4 separate regions of the Mus musculus genome follow, and all the other regions are reported to be linked to region 3. The links are microRNA targets in miRTarBase. Many come from high-throughput screens and were not tested one by one. Region 3 holds a microRNA gene; each other region holds the end of a gene's coding sequence. Distances are from middle to middle.

Region 1 (4,451 bases), not on the chromosome of region 3:
CCAGCCAGTCAGTCCAGCTAGAATAGCGAGGGAGCTTCAGGTTCAGGGAGTGACCCCGACGCAAGGAAACGAGGTTAAGTTGAGGAAGACACCCAACTCCCTTCTGGCTTCTGCATGCACCTGGAAACATACATATGTGCCACACATAAATAAAATTCTTGAAAAAGGACCAAACTCACTAGTTCATTTTTAGCAGTAAATGTCAACCATTTTAAAATTTATAAATATATACACAAGACTAATAATTATTCTAAAGAAATAGATTTTATTTTATACAACCTTCTAGTTTCCTAATTGTTTTTGTGTTCTTTCAAACAGGAGGCAGACAGTAACAAGTACTCCTTGCTGGATTGAACTTCATCTGAATGGCCCTCTGCAGTGGCTGGACAAAGTATTAACTCAGATGGGATCCCCTTCAGTGCGATGCTCAAGCATGTCGTAAACCCATCAAAGACTCGCTGTAACAGCTCCTCCGTCGTAGTATTCATGTATGATCCCGTGGACTGTTTGCTATCCAAAAATTCCAGAGCAAAAACAGCACTTGAGGTCTCATCAGTTAAAGCACCTTGTGGAATCTGTTTCCTATATTTGAATATTAGATGGGAAAATTAGTGTCTAGAAATGCCCTCCCCAGCGGGGAAAAAGAAGACTTAAAGACTTAATGATGTCTTGTTGGGCATAAGACAGTATCCCAAAGGTTATTAATAACAGTAGTAGTTGTGTACAGGTAATGTGTCCAGACCCAGTATTGCAGTACTATGCTGTTTGTATACATTCTTAGTTTGCATAAATGAGGTGTGTGTGCTGCTTCTTGGTCTAGGCAAGCCTTTATAAAATTACAGTATCTAATCTGTTATTCCCACTTCTCCGTTATTTTTGTGTCTTTTTTAATATATAATATATATATATCAAGATTTTCAAATTATCATTTAGAAGCAGATTTTCCTTGTAGAAACTAATTTTTCTGCCTTTTACCAAAAATAAACAAACTCTTGGGGGAAGACAAGTGGATTAACTTGGAAGTCCTTGACCTTCATGTGTCCAGTGGATCTTAGCAGTCGTTCTTTTGTGAGCCTTTTCTCCTGAGTTGCATTAGAAGGAAACCTTACTGGAACCGTCCAGGCTCCTCATCCCATTCCTGTTCTGGTTCAGAGCAGTACAGCAGAATGACGTCGTGCTAAACAGTTGCACTGCTGGCTTCTGGGTTAGTTGTTTCTGAGTCCAGGAAAGGTTTGTGTGGGCAGTAAGTCCTTTTGTCTAATAACCAGACTTCAGCAGATGATAACTGATGTGTATAACCAGTTGTTCTGTTGATTAACTTTTGTCTCAAACATGCACAGGTGGCAGTATAATTATTTTCAGGGCTATTCTAGAATCATCTCAGTCTGTTTCCTTCTTCCAAAGCCAGTCTAATAATAAAGTACCTTTCTGTAAAGGCAGCCGACCTTTTGCCTCATTTTACTTTTACTACCAGGTTGTATTACAGAACAGACCTTTTGTAAATGTGTTAGAGTGACGCTGAGGTCTTGTCAGCAGATAGGGCCATCTGTTTTTAAAGTGTATTGTATGTAATTTATAAGTAGAATGTTATTTTACCTAGCTTCAAAGGTTTAAATATTGTGAGCTAAGCCATTTAGCAAGATTTCTAGCCCGCAGTTAGCTGTGGACTTAGCTCTTCCTGACTTACCCTGGGTGTGTGGTTTGCTGACCTTTCAGCTCTGCAGGAAGGAGATCCCAGCTGTCCTTTGGTCCTCCCTTCTGCAGCACACGACAGTCATGTCCAGTGTTGACTCCTTTCTCGTTTGCAACTCCGTACAAATGCCTGGTCTCCTTTTTGTAAACTTTCATATTTTTGCAGACAAATACTTTTGGTACTTACTCTTTGAGACCATTCTCACATGTATGTACAGTAATCATTTTTGATGCTTTTCAACATTGGTTGTTTTCTATTTGATATTTCTCATTTTCCTATATTTGTGTTTGTATGTTATGTGTTCATGTAAATTTGGTATAGTAATTTTTATTCAAATATTTATTGTTCACCTGTTAATGTGCCATGAACTTCCTTAACTTTTGGGTGAAGGTGAACAAGATAGCTATAGTTCCTGCCTTTGCTAAGAGCAGTTGGTTTAACCCATACTCAAGTGTCTGCATAGGAGGTAAACAGGGTATACTTTGAGAATGGCAGAGACGATGCTTTTGGTAGGATATTAGGAAGGCATCTGGAGAGTGATGTGTAAGCTAACCCCTGACCTAGGAAGAGAAAGCCATGTGAAGAGCCAAGGGCAATTTAACACTGCTGGAACATTATCAGCATCCAAAGGCTCAGGCTCATAGAGACTCACTGTCAGGTATCATGATTGTGCACACACCTGCACACACCCACACGTGGTGATGAAAATGCTTGTTCAGTTTAGAATTTGTTGAAGGTGGGACTGCTTTGTGACAGGCTGCTTCTGTCATCTCACTGTAATCTATTCCTCAGACCTTGTACAGCTTTCTTACACCAGGTCAGTGCCACTTAATTTAACAACTCCCGTTACGTAAATGCTCACCAGTCTGGAGCCTCCCTGCTTGCTTCTGGACGTGTTGCTGCATATCGGCTATCACTGCTTCCCTTCCGCTGCCCATCTTGTGATAGAGCAATTGTCCTGTGCATTATTGCTGTTGAGCCTACTGGAGATCCTTGTACATAAACTGCCCCTTCTCTGGAAGTTTCCACAGACTAGAAAACTTGAGCTGTTGGGACAGTTCTGGGGCAGAGGACAGCTTTGAAAGTGGTAGGAGGTTATCAGACATGTTAAAGTGTTGCCAACAGTGAGACACAGCTCCATGGTTGGGGTTCAGGAATAGGTTTTCTATACCACCGAGCGTGAACAAGTCACCGTGTAAACTCATGTGAAAAGAATTCAGTGCTTATCTTTGCTTTTCACCGGAATGCTGTGGGCATGCGCTACTGTCACCTAGATTTTGTTGATTTCACCTCTTTTGCAAGACTGATTTTTGTTCCAGATGATTCCTACGGCCTCTCTTGGTTGATTTATATTGATTTAATTTCTCCACATTATTTAGCATCATGTCTCAGCAGTAATTTGAAAGCCTTTCTACCAGATTCAAACATTTGGTTGTATTAGGCCAGTCTTTTGGAATGCCACTAAACTGGGCTGTGACTTAAGGACCCTTTCCTGCTAGGGTCTGAGCCACACCAGTTAGACTTACTATCCATCGTTATATACATTTAGTCAGCATAGTTCCTGCCTATTGTTTACCCAGCCAATGTGATTCTGGGACCATGTCCTGGCTCTGGAGTTGGGCTTAGTCCTGTGAGAGTTCCTGTTGTTTTCAGGGCCTATGACTTTGCCAGAAGGAATTTGCATATGTTTTCTTGAGAGCTGAATCTTCTAATTGTGTACATATATGTATGTATATGTACAGAGTTCCTTCTTTGTTTCTTTAATTTCACCTTCATCACGCCTTGGTTGTCAGTTCATCCCGACTAAGAGTCCAAGTCAGTCAGGTTAGTAGGCTTTTGCTGGTTGAAGTCAAAGAAAGCAGATGCCCAGTTGCCTTCCCTACCTCTGCCAAGAGCTGCCCGTATGTGTTTTTAAGCCCTCCCCCTTTTTTTAAGATTAACTACTTGGAACAGTTGTTCTCTTAGGTGTCCTCTTTGCTGGAGAGTAGTTGATTTGGTGGTGAGGTATAAAGTAAGGAGACAATCTAAGTTGACCCTTCCAGCTTGCCTGTGTGTTGCACCTCTCTGTGCAACTATCTCAGGTATGTCTTCACAGGGCAGCCAAGGGCCTTTCCCCATACTGTGGCTTAAGGCTTTGGTGTCCTGATAGATCAGACTTATTACTTGTCATGCTTTTGCCTGAGCACTTTGCTAAACCCAGGCTTCCTTGCACCTTACCCTCCCCAGTCAATCAGCTCTATTTTTTTTTCTGAATGCATTCTGTATTCTTCCCTTAGTGCGATGCATTTCCCTGCAGGCAAGCTAGTATTGTTCATTCCTGGACCGTTGTTGGAGTCTTTCAAATGACTCTGGAATTTTTGCCCAGTTAAAATGTCCCTGTGACTGACAAGTAGCAAACTCAACATTATTTATCATAGTTTAGATGGTAACAGCATCTCCATCACAGTTTGGGGACAGTCTAGATCAGCGGTGTGACCCTTTAGTGCAGTTCCTCATGTTGTGGTGACCCCCAGCCATAAAATTATTTTATTGCTACTTCATTACTGTAATTTTGCTACTGTTATGAATCATAATGTAAATATCTTTGATTTTTGATGGTCTTAGGTGACCCCTGTGAAAAGGTTGTTTGACCACCCCTCCCCCAAGGGGTTGCAACCCACAGGTTGAGAAACCACTGTTGTAAAGTGTCCGATTTATTCCAGTGATGGTGGTCTGTGGTCTGCAGAGGTAGACCTCTGCCATTGGCTCCTCTTCTGTT
Region 2 (4,451 bases), not on the chromosome of region 3:
CTGAATTTAGTTTCAATCATGAGTTAGTGTTTCATGTTTCCCAGCAAAGCCACATTAGTATCCTGCCTCATCTTGCAGCTGAGCTAACTCCTAGACCATGGAAGAATGGACAGAAACCCCAGAAGTACCTACCGACCAGACACCTACTGCTTCTAGAAGGATTTGATTGTAGATGCAAACTCTTTTAGCGATGGTGAACTTTTATTAGATGGACACACGGCTTCTGCCTTGACTTCCCTCATAATACAATTTACCTGGGCCTGGAAGGTCCCCAGAACTTGTCAACAGCAACGTCTCTCTGTGCCAGGCATGTTTCATTCCATGATGGTTCTAACCTGCTTAGGACTACCTGTCTGCAGAATGTCCACCCCTCTAGTCACTGTTCTTGTTTCACCTCATAAGAACCTCACAAGAAGGTACCAGCAGGTTCTGCCCCAAACTTCACTTTTGGAACAGTTTGGTTTTGAAGAAAAAAAAAGAGAGCCTATTTGTTCCCACCAACACTAGAGGGGACCAGTGGGGACATTGCCACCTACCAGGAAGCTAGAACTAGTTTGGGATCGACTGCCTAAATAAACTGAGTGACCATTTCCTACTTTGCAACTGATTTGTTTGGTTCCAGTAGGCTACCTAGACCCCTCATTTAAACTGTGAGATAGACACATGACTGTGATCCTGAACTTACCAGGACATTTTCTTTTTTTTCAGGAGAATATGAAATTATATTTCTAAACAAGCAAACAATTCACTTTCTATCTTATTGTGGATAGTTAATAACATCTTCTCTCTGGATCAACCTAAGAATGTCTTCTGTCTGGATCAACCTAAGAAGTGGGCAGTTTTAAATAGGTAGGTACACTCAGCTCAGTAATTTTGAGTCAGACCCCGTCTGTCTGTCTTGCTTTGCACTTAACGTTTCATACATACAAGATTGTCATGTGACAATCCAAGGTGAGAAAAGAATACACAATAGCTCTGTCAACATAGCTTCCTTTTCTCTGACATCCAAATGCTTCCTGGGGGACTGGCATTTACCGGAATAGCTCTTATCCAGAATTTCTGCAGGTAGAGTCCACACTACAAACCCTTCCACATGGTCTGAGCTGGGACTTGGAACCTCAACACAGGGTGACTGCAGATGGTAAACCATATACATATCAAGGTTAAGACCAAGGTCCAAAGAAACTAGAGCCTCCAGAGAAAACTCTCCTTGGAGGGGGTGGGGTAGGTAATCATCATTGACTTTATTGCTATTTTTTTTACATACTATGATAATTGTGTCCTAAGACATTGGTTAGTCTCATTATAGTTATTTGATAACATTAAAGTTACATCTGCATTAAAGTACTGAGGAAAGCCTCCCATTTACAATCGTGCCTCTCTTTAAAGGGGTTCTGATTGATCCTATAGCATCCAACATTGCCTAAATATTGTGATGTATGTGAAACTAACTCAACCATAGGAGAACCGTCTAGAAACAACATCGACTCGGCTTGGGAAGTTTGTTTTTAAAAGACATGCCGATTGCTGGGCTCAGAGCATCACATGAGGAAAATTCTTCCCCTTCCTCTGAGGCCCCTCAGCATGCACGCTAGTCTTCATATCTTTAACACCAGCCCACCTTTGGAAAATAGGGGTGTGAGCTGCGTGAGTTCACCCTGCCTGCTTGTAAATTCTAGGAAGGATCCCGGAGAACAGCATGGTTTTCTTTTAATTAAACGGCCTTCCGGATGGTTCCGGAAGTTCTGCTTCCCCGAGAGGCCCATTGAGGGCTCTTCCCTGAAGAAAAAAGTGCTGTTCCCTCAGCAGTGCTACACTTTTAAACATCCCCAGGGGTAGCTTATGGAGAGCCCGTGGAAAGGTTCCTGTAGCGATGGAAATGAATCGGCTCATTTTGCCTCTTCAAAGCCCCTTCAGGTTTATAAACTTCTAGCAGGCAGAGTCCTCTTCCCCAGTGGGCTAGGGAGACCTCCTGCTTCCTCCCTCCTTGGATCAATGGTCACTCTTTGCTTTGGAGATCCCTAGAGGCAGGAGGGCTCAGTGACTGCTTGGGTTAAACCATGTTGTATTTCTATGGAAAGGATCTGTGCTGCTCCACCCTCCCGAGCAATGAGCCAAGACCAGGGCCTTACCGGCCCTCAGGAGCCTCGCCTCCACTGTCAGTGACACAGAAGCGGGATTGTTGGAGTTGAGGTCCTGGTGATGGATTTCTTCTAGGCACTCACTAGCTCACTGGTAGAGGAAGAGCTAATGAGTGATTGATTTGTCATAGTTCCTAATCAGCCTAGGTTCTCATGGTCACACCCTGTGAGAGTTGTAGGTAAAACTCAAGGAGAATTACTAAAGAGAGAAATATTAGTTTATAAAGAAATTTTTAAAAAGTTTTCTCTTCCTTGAAAATCTGATAGATGAGCCTGCTGACAGGAAAATGAACCCAAGCCCAAGGCAGTCCATAATTTCCAAATTCAAGTTGTGGCTTCCCAGTCAGAAAGACCCATGGGCTTTCTTCCTAAGGTAGCCCACGATCACACCATTCATTAATAGACTTTCTCTTTCATCAGAGGCTGAGGCTGAAGAAACTGGGAGCCAGGGCACAGGCAGGTGGCAACCCACATCTGCAAGTGACTATGAAGAGCCTGGAAGACATTTTTGGCTGATGTTGGAGTCTGCTCTACAGTTGGTAGGGGTGCCGTAACACCAATCCAAGATTTAGATAATGAGAGAGAAGACTGCTCTAAAAGTTTTCTAGGCTATGTCAAACTCAAATAGAACTTTATTTCCTCCCATCCCTCCACTTCCTTCGCTTGCTCAAACCCAAAGCTACCCACTGAAGAACACAGTCACACACACACACACACACACACACACACACACACACACACACACACACTCTCATGTGATCTCCAGTGGACGACTACTCTTCAGCCAGTGACCCCTGTGGCTGTAGACCCTGTTTGGGCCTTTTGGCATCAATATTGCTTCCCAGAAGTCTCTCCCTATCTGGGTCACCTTGGTTTAGAGTTATAAATCGACTGCCTTTGTGGCAAAATGGAGACAGGAGGAAAACTTGGGTCAGTGCTGGCCAGGATGTAATCATATTGCACCAGAAAACTGGGGTATATTGTGTGTTGGGGGTGTCTCCATCTGGCCCACTGTCAGAAATAGTGAGCATCTGGAACTGTTTTGCTAGAGCCACACCCAGCTGAGTCCCCCCAACCACTGTCTCCCCAATCAAGGCATAGATCTCTCCCTGACGATGATGTATCTGTCCATCACCTTGCATTTGCTGAGGAACGAGGGGAGAGAGAAGCTGGCATTTCAAGTTGTTAGCGCATCTGAGAAAGCATTATGATATTGGCAGAAGGGAACGGTGACAATCCCATGAGAGCTCTGCAAACTGACCCCAGATTCACTGACCCCAGATACACTGACCCTAGATCAGACCAGCAGGTGGAAAAAAAATCTGCCACCGTGTCCTCTGCTTGCCAGGCTCCTGCAGGGCAAGGCAGAAGGATGGCACTGATCTTAGAAGGTAGAAGGCTGGAGTTGAGTTCAGGGGTGCCAGTAAGATGTGGCCTAATTTTTTTTTATGTTTCCCCAAGGCAATGGGGAAGAAGAGTCTGTAGAGCTGAAAGCCATTGGGAGAAGTAGAATTCTTCTGCAGCAGAAATTGGGCCAGACAGCCAAGCTCACGATCGGCTGAGGCGCCTGGCGACATCTGCGTAGGCCAACTCGATCTCACTGTCAGCTGCACAGGTGTTGGTGAACTCGTCCCGTGCATAGGCATTCTTGAGGTATCGCCACAAGCCTGTCATCTCAGCTGGGATGTCATAGTTTCGGTACTTCTTAGCCACAATCTAAGCAAAGATGACAAGAAAATGATGGCATGAAGGCAGGAAACAAAACATTAGGAGGTGTTGGGACCATGGTTTCATGGGTGGCTGTGCATATCAGGTATGTTTGCATACAGCATGGCCAAGAGAAGCTGGGTAGAAAGACTAGCCATATCTGCAAGCTCCCAGGGTCTTGCAAACAAGAGGTCCTTGCTCTTGCTTTAAGGCTGTGTCAATATCAGTACATTCTTCATATATTTTTTTAACAAAGGACCTCTTATTCACTGCTCCCTGGGACCTGCCCATTAGTCTTTCCTGTAGCCCTCAGGGTCATGCAGGGGCAGCAGAGAGCAGAATCTCTCCCAGGGTTCTGCTTCTAACTTTCTCTGTTTTCTCTTGGGGGTGGCAGAGGGCACCAAACCATGGGGTCTGATATTTTCCTGCTCAGGGACCCCCAGCTCAGCCACGCAAGGATTTCTTCCTTGCTGTATGGGTCATGAGGAGTCCACAGGAAATGATGCCAAGAAGACAATGACAGTCTGCTGCATGAAAAGCCATTAGGAGGACACCTTTCTTCCCATCTCTCATTCCAGTTCTGAGCTTCTGGTACAACAACAG
Region 3 (4,451 bases):
GAATGCAATTTCTTCTGTGTGTGTGTGCCTGCATATACACGTGTGTTTATGTTATGTATATTCATATCAACACATGCACATGCACATACAAGTAAGCACACATGCACATACATGGGTAGCATCACAGAAATACCAGGATGATCTCCAACTGAAATTAAGCATGGATTTGAACTCCTGATCCTCCTGACTCTGTGGTTTACACCTGGTGATTGAGACCATTCACTGTCCCACTACTGCATAATCTCTAAAACTCTAAGTCACCTATCATTCAGATGGATCGATGAGTGTCATTCCTGTGTCTCTGTGTGTGTGTGTGCTTGTGTTTATATGTATGTGCATGTTATGTCTATTCATATACACACATGCACATGTACACAAAACTATACACCCATGCACATACATGGGTGGCAATCACATGAATCACAGGCAGATATCTATATCCTCCTGAAGATAAGCATGAATTTGAACTCCTGATACTCCTGATTCTAGCAAGCATTTTTACCTAGAAAATGACAGCACTCACTGGCCCAGTACTGAATAATTTCTAATATTCTAGGTGGCATATCATATAAATGGATCTATGAATGTTATTCGTGTGTGTGTGTGTGTGTGTGTGTGTGTGTGTGTGTGTGTGTGTGTGCACGCTAGGGTTTATATGTCTATGTATATGTTATGTATATCCATATAGACACATGAACATACACACACAACTATACAAACCTGCATGTACACTTAAGGCATCACATGAATCACAGGCTTATCTCTAAATCATGCTGAAGATAAGCATAAATTTGAACTTCTGATACTCCTAACTATAGTAAGCATTTTCACCTAGAGAATGAGAGCACTCACTTGCCCCATACTGAATAATCTCTACTACTCTGAGTGGCATATCATTTAAATGGGTCAATGAATGCCATTCCTGTGTCTGTGTGTGTGCTTGCGTTTATACGTGTGTGTGTATGTTATGTATATTCAAATATAGACATGAACATGCACACACAACTATACACACATGCACATACATGGAGGAATCTCAGGCTGATCTCTCATGAGGATAAGCATGAATTTAAACTCCTGATACTCTTAACTCTAGCAAGCATTTTCACCTAGAGAATAAGAGCACTCACTGGCCAAGTACTGCATAATCTCTAATATGCTAAGTGACATATCATTCAAAGGGATCGATGAAAGCCATTCTTGTGTCTCTATGTGTGTGTGCTTGCGTTTATACGTGTATGTTATGTATATGCAAATACATGCATGAACATGCACACACAACTATATACACATGCACAATCATGGGGCCATCACATGAATCACAGGCTGATCTCTAAATCCTCATGAAGGTCAGTATGTGTTTTAACTCCTGAATACTCTTAACTCTAGCAAGCATTTTCACCTAGAGACTGAGAGCACTCACTGGCCAAGTACTGCATAATCTCTAATACTCTAAGTGACACATCATTCCAATGGATTGATGAGTGGCATTGGTGTGAGTGTGTGTGTGTGTGTGTGTGTGTGTGTGTACTTGCATTAGTGTGTGTATGTTATGTATATTCAAATACAGACATGCACACACAACTATACTCACATGCACACACATGGGCGATATCACATGAATACCAGGATGCTATCTAGCTGAACATAGGAGTGAATTGGAACTCCAGATCCTCTTGACTCTTTCAATCGTTTACAACTGGTGAGTGAGACAATTCACCGTCTCTACTTCAAAATCTCTAAAACTCTAAATCACTTATCATTCCAATGGATCGATGAATGGCATTCCTGTGTCTGTTTGTGCACTTGTGTTTACTTGTGTGTGTGTGTGTATGTTATTTATATGCAAATACACACATCCACACACAACTATACACACATGCACATACATGGAGGCATCACATGAATGCCAGGCTGATCTCTAACTCATCATGCCGTTAACATGAATGTGCACTCCTGATCACCCTGAATCTAGCAAGTCTTCTCCTGGTGACTGAGACCTCTCTCTGTCAGCCCCAGTCATACAGAATCTCTAAGACTCTAAGTCACTAATTATTCAAATAGATGGATGAGTGCCAATTTTTGTGTGTTTGTATGCATGTTTGTATGGGTATGTGTGTATGTATATGTATATTCATATACACACATGTACATGCACACATACATATACACACAGGCATATATACTAGGGTCATCACAAGACTCCGAAGCTGATCACGAACTCATCATGAAGTTCAGCATGAATTTTGATTCCTGGTCATCCAAAGTCTGGCAAGCAAGCATTTTCACCTTGTGAGTGAGAGCACTCACTGGCCCAGCCCTGCATAATCTCTAAAGCTCTGAGTCACCTGTCATTCAAAAGGATCAATGAGTGACATTCCTCTGTGTGTGTGCGCGTGTGTGTGTGTGTGTGTGTGCGTGCCTGTGTGTTTATGTTTGTCTGTATGTAGATGTATATTTGTATACACACATGTACATATACACAAAACTATACACACATGCACATATATGGGGGGAGGATGCCATGAGGCCAGGCTGATCCCTAGGTCATTTTGAAGTTATTCAGGAATTTGAACTGCTGATCCAAAAGGCAAGCGTTTTACCTGGTAAGTTAACTGAGACATAGCTCTGGCCATTCCTGTGAGTGAGTGTGTGTGCATGCGTGTATATGCATATTCATATAGAGAAGTGTATGTGCACAAAGCTATACACACATGCACATTCTTTATGGTCATCACATGAATAGCATGCTGATCTCTAACTCATCATGAAGTTAAACATGAATTTGAACTCTTGATCCACCTGACTCTGTGGTGTGAGACCTCTCCCTATTGAGTACTGCAGAATCTCTAAAACTCTAAGTCACATATCATTCAAATGGACTGAGGAGTGGCATGCGTGTGTGTGTCTGTGTCTGTGGATGGGTCTATGTGTGTGTAGGTATGTATATTCATATACACAATCCACACACAGTTACACACATATACACATACATGGGGACATCACATGATTCCCAGGCAGATCTCTAAGTCATCATGAAATAAAGCATGAATTTGAACTCCTGACCTCCTGATTCTAACAAGCATTTTTAACATGATGGGTGATAACTCTCCCTGACCTAGTCACACATAATCTCCAAAGCTCACAGTCACATAGATCAATGAGTGAGTGCCATTCCTGTGTGCCTGTGTGCTCATATGTGTCTTATGTGTGCGTGTATGTATATGGATATCATATTCACATATGTACATGTACACACACATAAACACATATACACATACATAGGGGCAATCACATGAATGCCAGGATGACCTCTAACTCATCATGCCTTTACCATGAACTTGCACTCCTGATCTTCCCGACTCTACCAAGGGTTTTCCCGTGGTTTGTGAGACCTCACCCTGGCCCAGTCATACATAACCTCCAAAGCAGTAGGTCACATATCATTCAAATGGATCCGTGAGGGCCATTCCCGCATGTCTGTGTGCATGTGTGTGTAGGTGTGTGTATGTATATGCATAAAATATACACGCATATACATGCGCGCACTTATGCACACAGGCACATACATAGGGGCCATCACATTATTCCAGGATGATCTCTAACTGCTCATGAAGTTAAGCATGAAATTGAACTCCTGATCCTCCTGACAATGCCAATTGTTTACACCTTGTGAGTGAGACCATTCACTGTCCTTCTACTGCATAATCAGTAACATTCTAAGACATATATCATTCAAATGGATCGATGAATGCCATACCTTGGTGTGTGTGTGCTTGCTTTTATACGTGTGTGTGTGTGTGTGTGTGTTATGTATAATCATATACACACATGTACATGCACACAAAATTATGTGTGCATGTACATACCTAGGGTCCATCACACGAATCCAGGATGATCACTAACTGATCATTAAGTTAAGCATGATTCTGAACTCCAAGACTTCTGATTCTGGCAAGCGGTTTTCATCTAGTTGGCGAGATATTTCACTGTACCATAAATATACACTCTATGAAATTCTAAGCACATATAAAACTTATGGATGACTGCCATGTGTTTCTGTATGCATGCATGTGTGAATATGTGTCAATATATGTCTTTTCATATATCCGCATGTACAGACAAACTTATCTATACACATACACAGAAACAATCACATGAATAACAGGCTGATCTGTAACTCATCAGGAAGTTAAACATGAATTTGAACTCTGGGACCTCCTGACGCTGGCAAGAGCATCCACCTCCTAACTGAGACATAGCTCTGGCCCAGCACTGCATAAGCTCTAAAGCTCTGAGTCACATACCATTCCAAAGGATATATGAGTGCCATTCCTGTGTCTGCATGTGTGTATATGCATATTCACATAGAGAAGTGAATATGCACACAACTACACACACATGCACATTTTGGTGTGCATCAATGAAACACATGCTGATCTCTAATGCAT
Region 4 (4,412 bases), 150 Mb from region 3:
TTTCCCTGGACAATGCCCAGTGCAGCAGGTACATTAATTACCAATCTTGTGACCACGACAAAAAAACAAAAACAAACAAAAAAAAACACAAACAAACAAAAAAACAGACAAAAGCCAGCTAGGGAAGAAAGGCTTCATTTTGGGCTCCTGGTTTAAGCAGAGACCATGATGGGGAGGGTGTGGCAGAGCCTGGGTGCCAACCTCATCACATCAGGATGCAGAGAACAGGAAAGAGGAGGAGGCTGGTAAAGCCTCCAGGTGGTCCCCCTCTCTCCACTCCCTCTAGAGGCTCTGATTCCTGCAGTTTCTACAGACTTCCACTAGCTGTGGAGCAAGAGTTCCCATGATCCTGTGCAGGGCATTTCCCATTCACACTGCGACAGTGGGACATCTGCACACCTCCTGAGTCCTTCTGTTTTTAGTACGTGGATATGGTCACTGTCTCCGAGAGAATCTTATTTCTAGGTCCCTCCTTGTTCTCCATCCAAGACCATAAAGTCTCAGAGCTAACCTCCTGCCCCAGCTTCAGGTCTCATACAGGGCCACATGGACCCCAGGCTTGGCACATGTCTCCTCTGGAGCTGCAGAGCACTACAGGCTGTTCCCACCCCAGAAGCTCTGTCTCTGGTCTCCACAGAGTCAAAGGAAGATGATTCAGATTTGTGCTTCAACTGGGAGCCCTGGAGCAAAAGACCATCTGAGTGTGGCTGTGAGGAGACATTTCCTGGTGAGGAGGACGGACTCCACTGGTGATCCTGCTCTACCAGGTAAGGCCTTCCATAGGAATGGGCAGCTGTAAGACCCCGGGCCTGCACAGAGCCTCAGCAGCTGACCCTTGGAGCAGGCTGTCTTGCTGTGTGGACACCCTGGGCCTTGGCTTTACTGAAGAACTGACTGTCCTGCTATGATCTCCATGACTTCAGGGACTTGACCTGACTGGGGTGGCAAAGGTGTGAAGAAAGGACAGACACATGGACATAGACAAGCTTGGATGGGATGATCTGGGTTTTTGGAACATGTTTATTGTGTACAGTTGAATAAGGAGGCAGGAGCCATGGTCTACGGCTGGACCGGGGGGGTGAGGGGTGTTGCAGGGGGAGTGGCCATGGTCTACAGCTGGACAAGGAGGCAGGGGCCATGGTGTACAGCTGTAGGAGGAGGCAGAGGCCATGGTGTACAGCTGGATGAGGAGACAGGGGCCATGGTGTACAGCTGGATGGGGAAGCAGGAACTATGATATTCAGTTGGACAAAGAGGAAGGTTTAGCTAAACTCATAAGTGTGGTCTCTGTGAGGGAGTAATCTTCAGGCCATAGCAATCTGGAGGACGAAAGCTATAGTGGACATTTTCTGCACACTAAAGGAAGACTTTGCCTGCCATCCCTTTGAGCCCTACACCCGGTGGGTGCACTCCTGTGGCTCTGTGGCATTGGGGTCCTTTATATGGTTGTGCTCCTGACAATACACACTCACAATTTCCTTGCTCCTACGTTGGCCCCTGGTGGGCAGCTGCCTGCCTGGTGTGTGGAGAACTGTCACCTCAGCCAGGAGGAGTTTCCTTACAAAGCCCCAGCCCTTCCTCACCTCGTGTCACCTCAGGGCCTTTGCATTGCTTCTTCCCTCTGCTAGAAGCTTCCTCCCTCACACAGCTGTTGGATTCCCCTTCTTCCCTCCCATGACTCGCACAAGTGTCACTTTGTCAGGGGTTCCCCCAATATTGGATATCACAGTGCCCCCTTGACTCTGCACTACTTTCCTTTGCTGTGGCTAATTACCACCTTCCAGAAACCTAGATAATGGGGGGATCCAAACACCCAAATCCCTTCCCACCACACAGTGGGGGAGTTGCACACACATTGGCCAAAGCCTACGATGCCAGTCATCACCCGTGTGGTTGGTGGTCCTGGAATATGCATCTCCTTCTCACACACTCACCGTGAAAGCTGGGATGAGGTGTTCTCACCTCCATGGATATGTGAAAACTTGGGGTCTCATCCAGAGGGATCCAGGGCCTTGGCAGCCATGCCACTGGGCTCATGTCGCCTCCAGCCAGCGGCCCCCAAATGCATGTTGTCACTCTCATCTTCCTCTGAGCTCTGTCATCTCCCCGTTTAAGCTCTCCATGTCCCACAGTCGCCCCACAAAGCAAAGCCCGATGGCCCCATCCCCACTTCTTTCGTCCCTGCTCCAGCCACCACCTTAGGGCTCAGCCTCCAGGGCTCCTTCACATCCAGCCATGGCAACAGGTCCTGGCGACCCATCGCCACCTCCGCTGGGCCCACATCTTCCCTCTGTTCTCCTTGTTGTGTAGCATGGTCAAGCACTATGCTTTCACTTGGAGGGAGGAGGTGGGACTGAGAAGGGGTGGGGGGCTCCCTGAACCCTCCCTGAGCTTAAGAGTCCTTGCTTAACCTTTCTGGGTCATAGCCTTGCCAAGTGAGACATTTCCCTGGAAAAACTCCTGTGTGCTCATGTGCTCAAGTTCGTGGACAAGGAAGGGGAGGCTTCTTGACCGTTGAAATCACACAAGGCCCCAGAGAAACCTCTCTGTCTGATATGACTCTGCTATGGTTGTGTGTACTTATTTATTTATTTTGTTGTCTTGGTAGTGCTAGGGTTTGAACCCAGAGTCTCAAGCGTACTAGGCGAGTTCTGTACCACCAAGTCACATCCCGAACCAAAGGACCCTGCCCATCTTCAGAGAGAGCTCTTCTCGACCCCACCATTGCTCCTCATCTCTTATCCTCCATTCTGACTTCATCTCCAACCCAAGTCCCATGTGTTTATGGCTTGTTTACTAGGTACCATCTGGGCCTAAGTGGATGGAGGGAGAACACTGGTGACCGATGGCCTTCCCTGGGATCTCCCGTTGTCAGACCTGCCAAGCCTCTTGCCAAACCATCCCTTCTCCATCACCACAGATGACCCGGAACCTGGAAGAGCCAGGCCCAAGCGGCTTATGGGGGCCAGTTGGCCAGTCAACTCACAGGGTGTGTTGGATACCTATTAAAGAAATGGGGGTGCTCTTGTGCCCCTACAGAGCTTCCGATGTCCATTCATTCGGCATGGCACTCTCTGGACTGTCCCAGCCTCGTGTCTGCTGGCAGAGGCAAGCACTCTGAGTTTTCAACGTCACACCACAGGCTTGATCCTTGATTAGACTATAGTGTGAATGTCTGCACCCCCACACACACACTAAGACAGGTGTCTCGAAGTAGCTCTGGCCTGGAACTTGCCACGTAGACCAGATTGGCCTCAAACTCACAGAGATCTGTCTGCCTCTGCCTCCAGGGTGCTGGGATTAAAGGTGTGTCACTGTGCCTGGCTGCATTTTAAGGTCCTGGGCCTTGGAGAATTACCAAAGTCTCCTGCAGCCCTTCTGGTTACCCCAAGGCAACTGGAAGATGGTCCATGAGAGGGGACAGGCCTCCTAGGTACCATCTGATATCACTTTGTCCCTCCCCCTGCTGGACACCACAAAGACTGAAGTTCTCCCAGGGAGAAGACAGAGCCTGACTTGATAACCTGTGACCATTATACTGTTCCTTCTGTCTTGTCAGAGTGACTCACCCACTGCACCCATCAGAACACCCCTCCCCCATTTCCCTAAAAAAAAAAAAAAAAAAAACCCAATCTGTGGCTCCCTGTGCTCCTGGCTGGAGTCTCAGCTCTTCATCCATTGTAACACGGCCCTTTGGGATCTGAAGCCAGCTGATGTTGCTGAACGCCCTGGGCTTCTTCTCTCCTCCATCATAGGATGCAATGACTATACCTGTACTTCACCCATAAGCCTGCCCCTATGTGAAAATATTGTAGAAGATTCCGAGCATGCTGGTGTGTATGATACAATCCCACAGTCCAGCTTACAGAAGTCCCCAAGTCTTTGCACGGACGGTGGCACCAAGGGTGCATGAGAATGCCATGTTTCTCTAGCCTCTACACATTCCCCAACACACAGGCACACACATCAACTCAACACCCCCCCCATGTTCTCACACACATGCACACTCACATGCACACACACAAAGCTCTACGTGGGCTTTTATCTGCGTGATGAGGCTAAGCTTCCTTTGGTAATGGTTCCCATTCAGCACGGCCAGGGCTGGCCCCTGGCTTTGCCTGGAGGCTTCTCCATAAACCCCATTACAAGCAACCCCAGCAGCAGCTCAGAGGTCAAAGGCCAGCTTCCCCACAATCCTGGGCATGCTGTCCAGTCCCCAGATCATTGTCCCAACCTGTCTGGAAGTATGTGGGATGGACCCTGAGGGGAAGCAGGAGCAGGCAGGCCCTTCTGTACCTCCTTGGACTGGTGGGAGAAGACATGACTGGACCTCTGATGCAGCCTATGTCCCTGGGTCACACCCAGTCAGATGTTGAAGATAGCCACCATCATAATGTGGGTGCCTGGGTCCT

What was found. The annotated mature microRNA mmu-miR-669c-3p reads UACACACACACACACAAGUAAA and lies in region 3 at 1,812-1,833, opposite strand. An mRNA with a match to its seed (bases 2 to 7 or 8) in the 3' UTR can be bound and repressed. Matches are read on the target gene's strand: a 7mer-m8 pairs with bases 2 to 8, a 7mer-A1 pairs with bases 2 to 7 and ends in A, and an 8mer does both.
Region 1: the mRNA of Smad2 is a reported target of mmu-miR-669c-3p. Seed matches in the 3' UTR shown: 7mer-m8 at 797-803 and 7mer-m8 at 3,742-3,748.
Region 2: miRTarBase lists Clic5 as a target of mmu-miR-669c-3p. Seed matches in the 3' UTR shown: 7mer-m8 at 2,883-2,889, 7mer-m8 at 2,881-2,887, 7mer-m8 at 2,879-2,885, 7mer-m8 at 2,877-2,883, 7mer-m8 at 2,875-2,881, 7mer-m8 at 2,873-2,879 and 15 more.
Region 4: miRTarBase lists Adig as a target of mmu-miR-669c-3p. The part of its 3' UTR that is shown has no 7-base or 8-base seed match.

What each region holds. Positions count from the first base shown.
Region 1 is chr18:76,304,289-76,308,739 of GRCm38, forward strand. It overlaps Smad2 (SMAD family member 2), which reads left to right. Exons shown (of 11, transcript NM_010754.5): 11 at 319-4,451. The coding sequence ends at 442. Among named protein-coding and RNA genes, the nearest start is that of Smad2, 65 kb to the left of the region's middle.
Region 2 is chr17:44,274,620-44,279,070 of GRCm38, reverse strand. Clic5 (chloride intracellular channel 5) reads right to left here. Exons shown (of 6, transcript NM_172621.2): 6 at 1-3,857. The coding sequence ends at 3,690. Among named protein-coding and RNA genes, the nearest start is that of Clic5, 88 kb to the right of the region's middle.
Region 3 is chr2:10,506,741-10,511,191 of GRCm38, reverse strand. It overlaps Mir669c (microRNA 669c), which reads right to left and starts at 1,896; the gene lies at 1,788-1,896. The region is part of intron 10 of Sfmbt2 (Scm-like with four mbt domains 2); the gene reads right to left. It overlaps Mir467d (microRNA 467d), which reads right to left and starts at 3,562; the gene lies at 3,478-3,562. It overlaps Mir466 (microRNA 466), which reads right to left and starts at 3,274; the gene lies at 3,202-3,274. It also overlaps Mir297c and Mir669a-2.
Region 4 is chr2:158,505,155-158,509,566 of GRCm38, forward strand. Adig (adipogenin) reads left to right here. Exons shown (of 3, transcript NM_145635.2): 2 at 638-767; 3 at 2,801-3,044. The coding sequence ends at 753. Among named protein-coding and RNA genes, the nearest start is that of Adig, 4.7 kb to the left of the region's middle.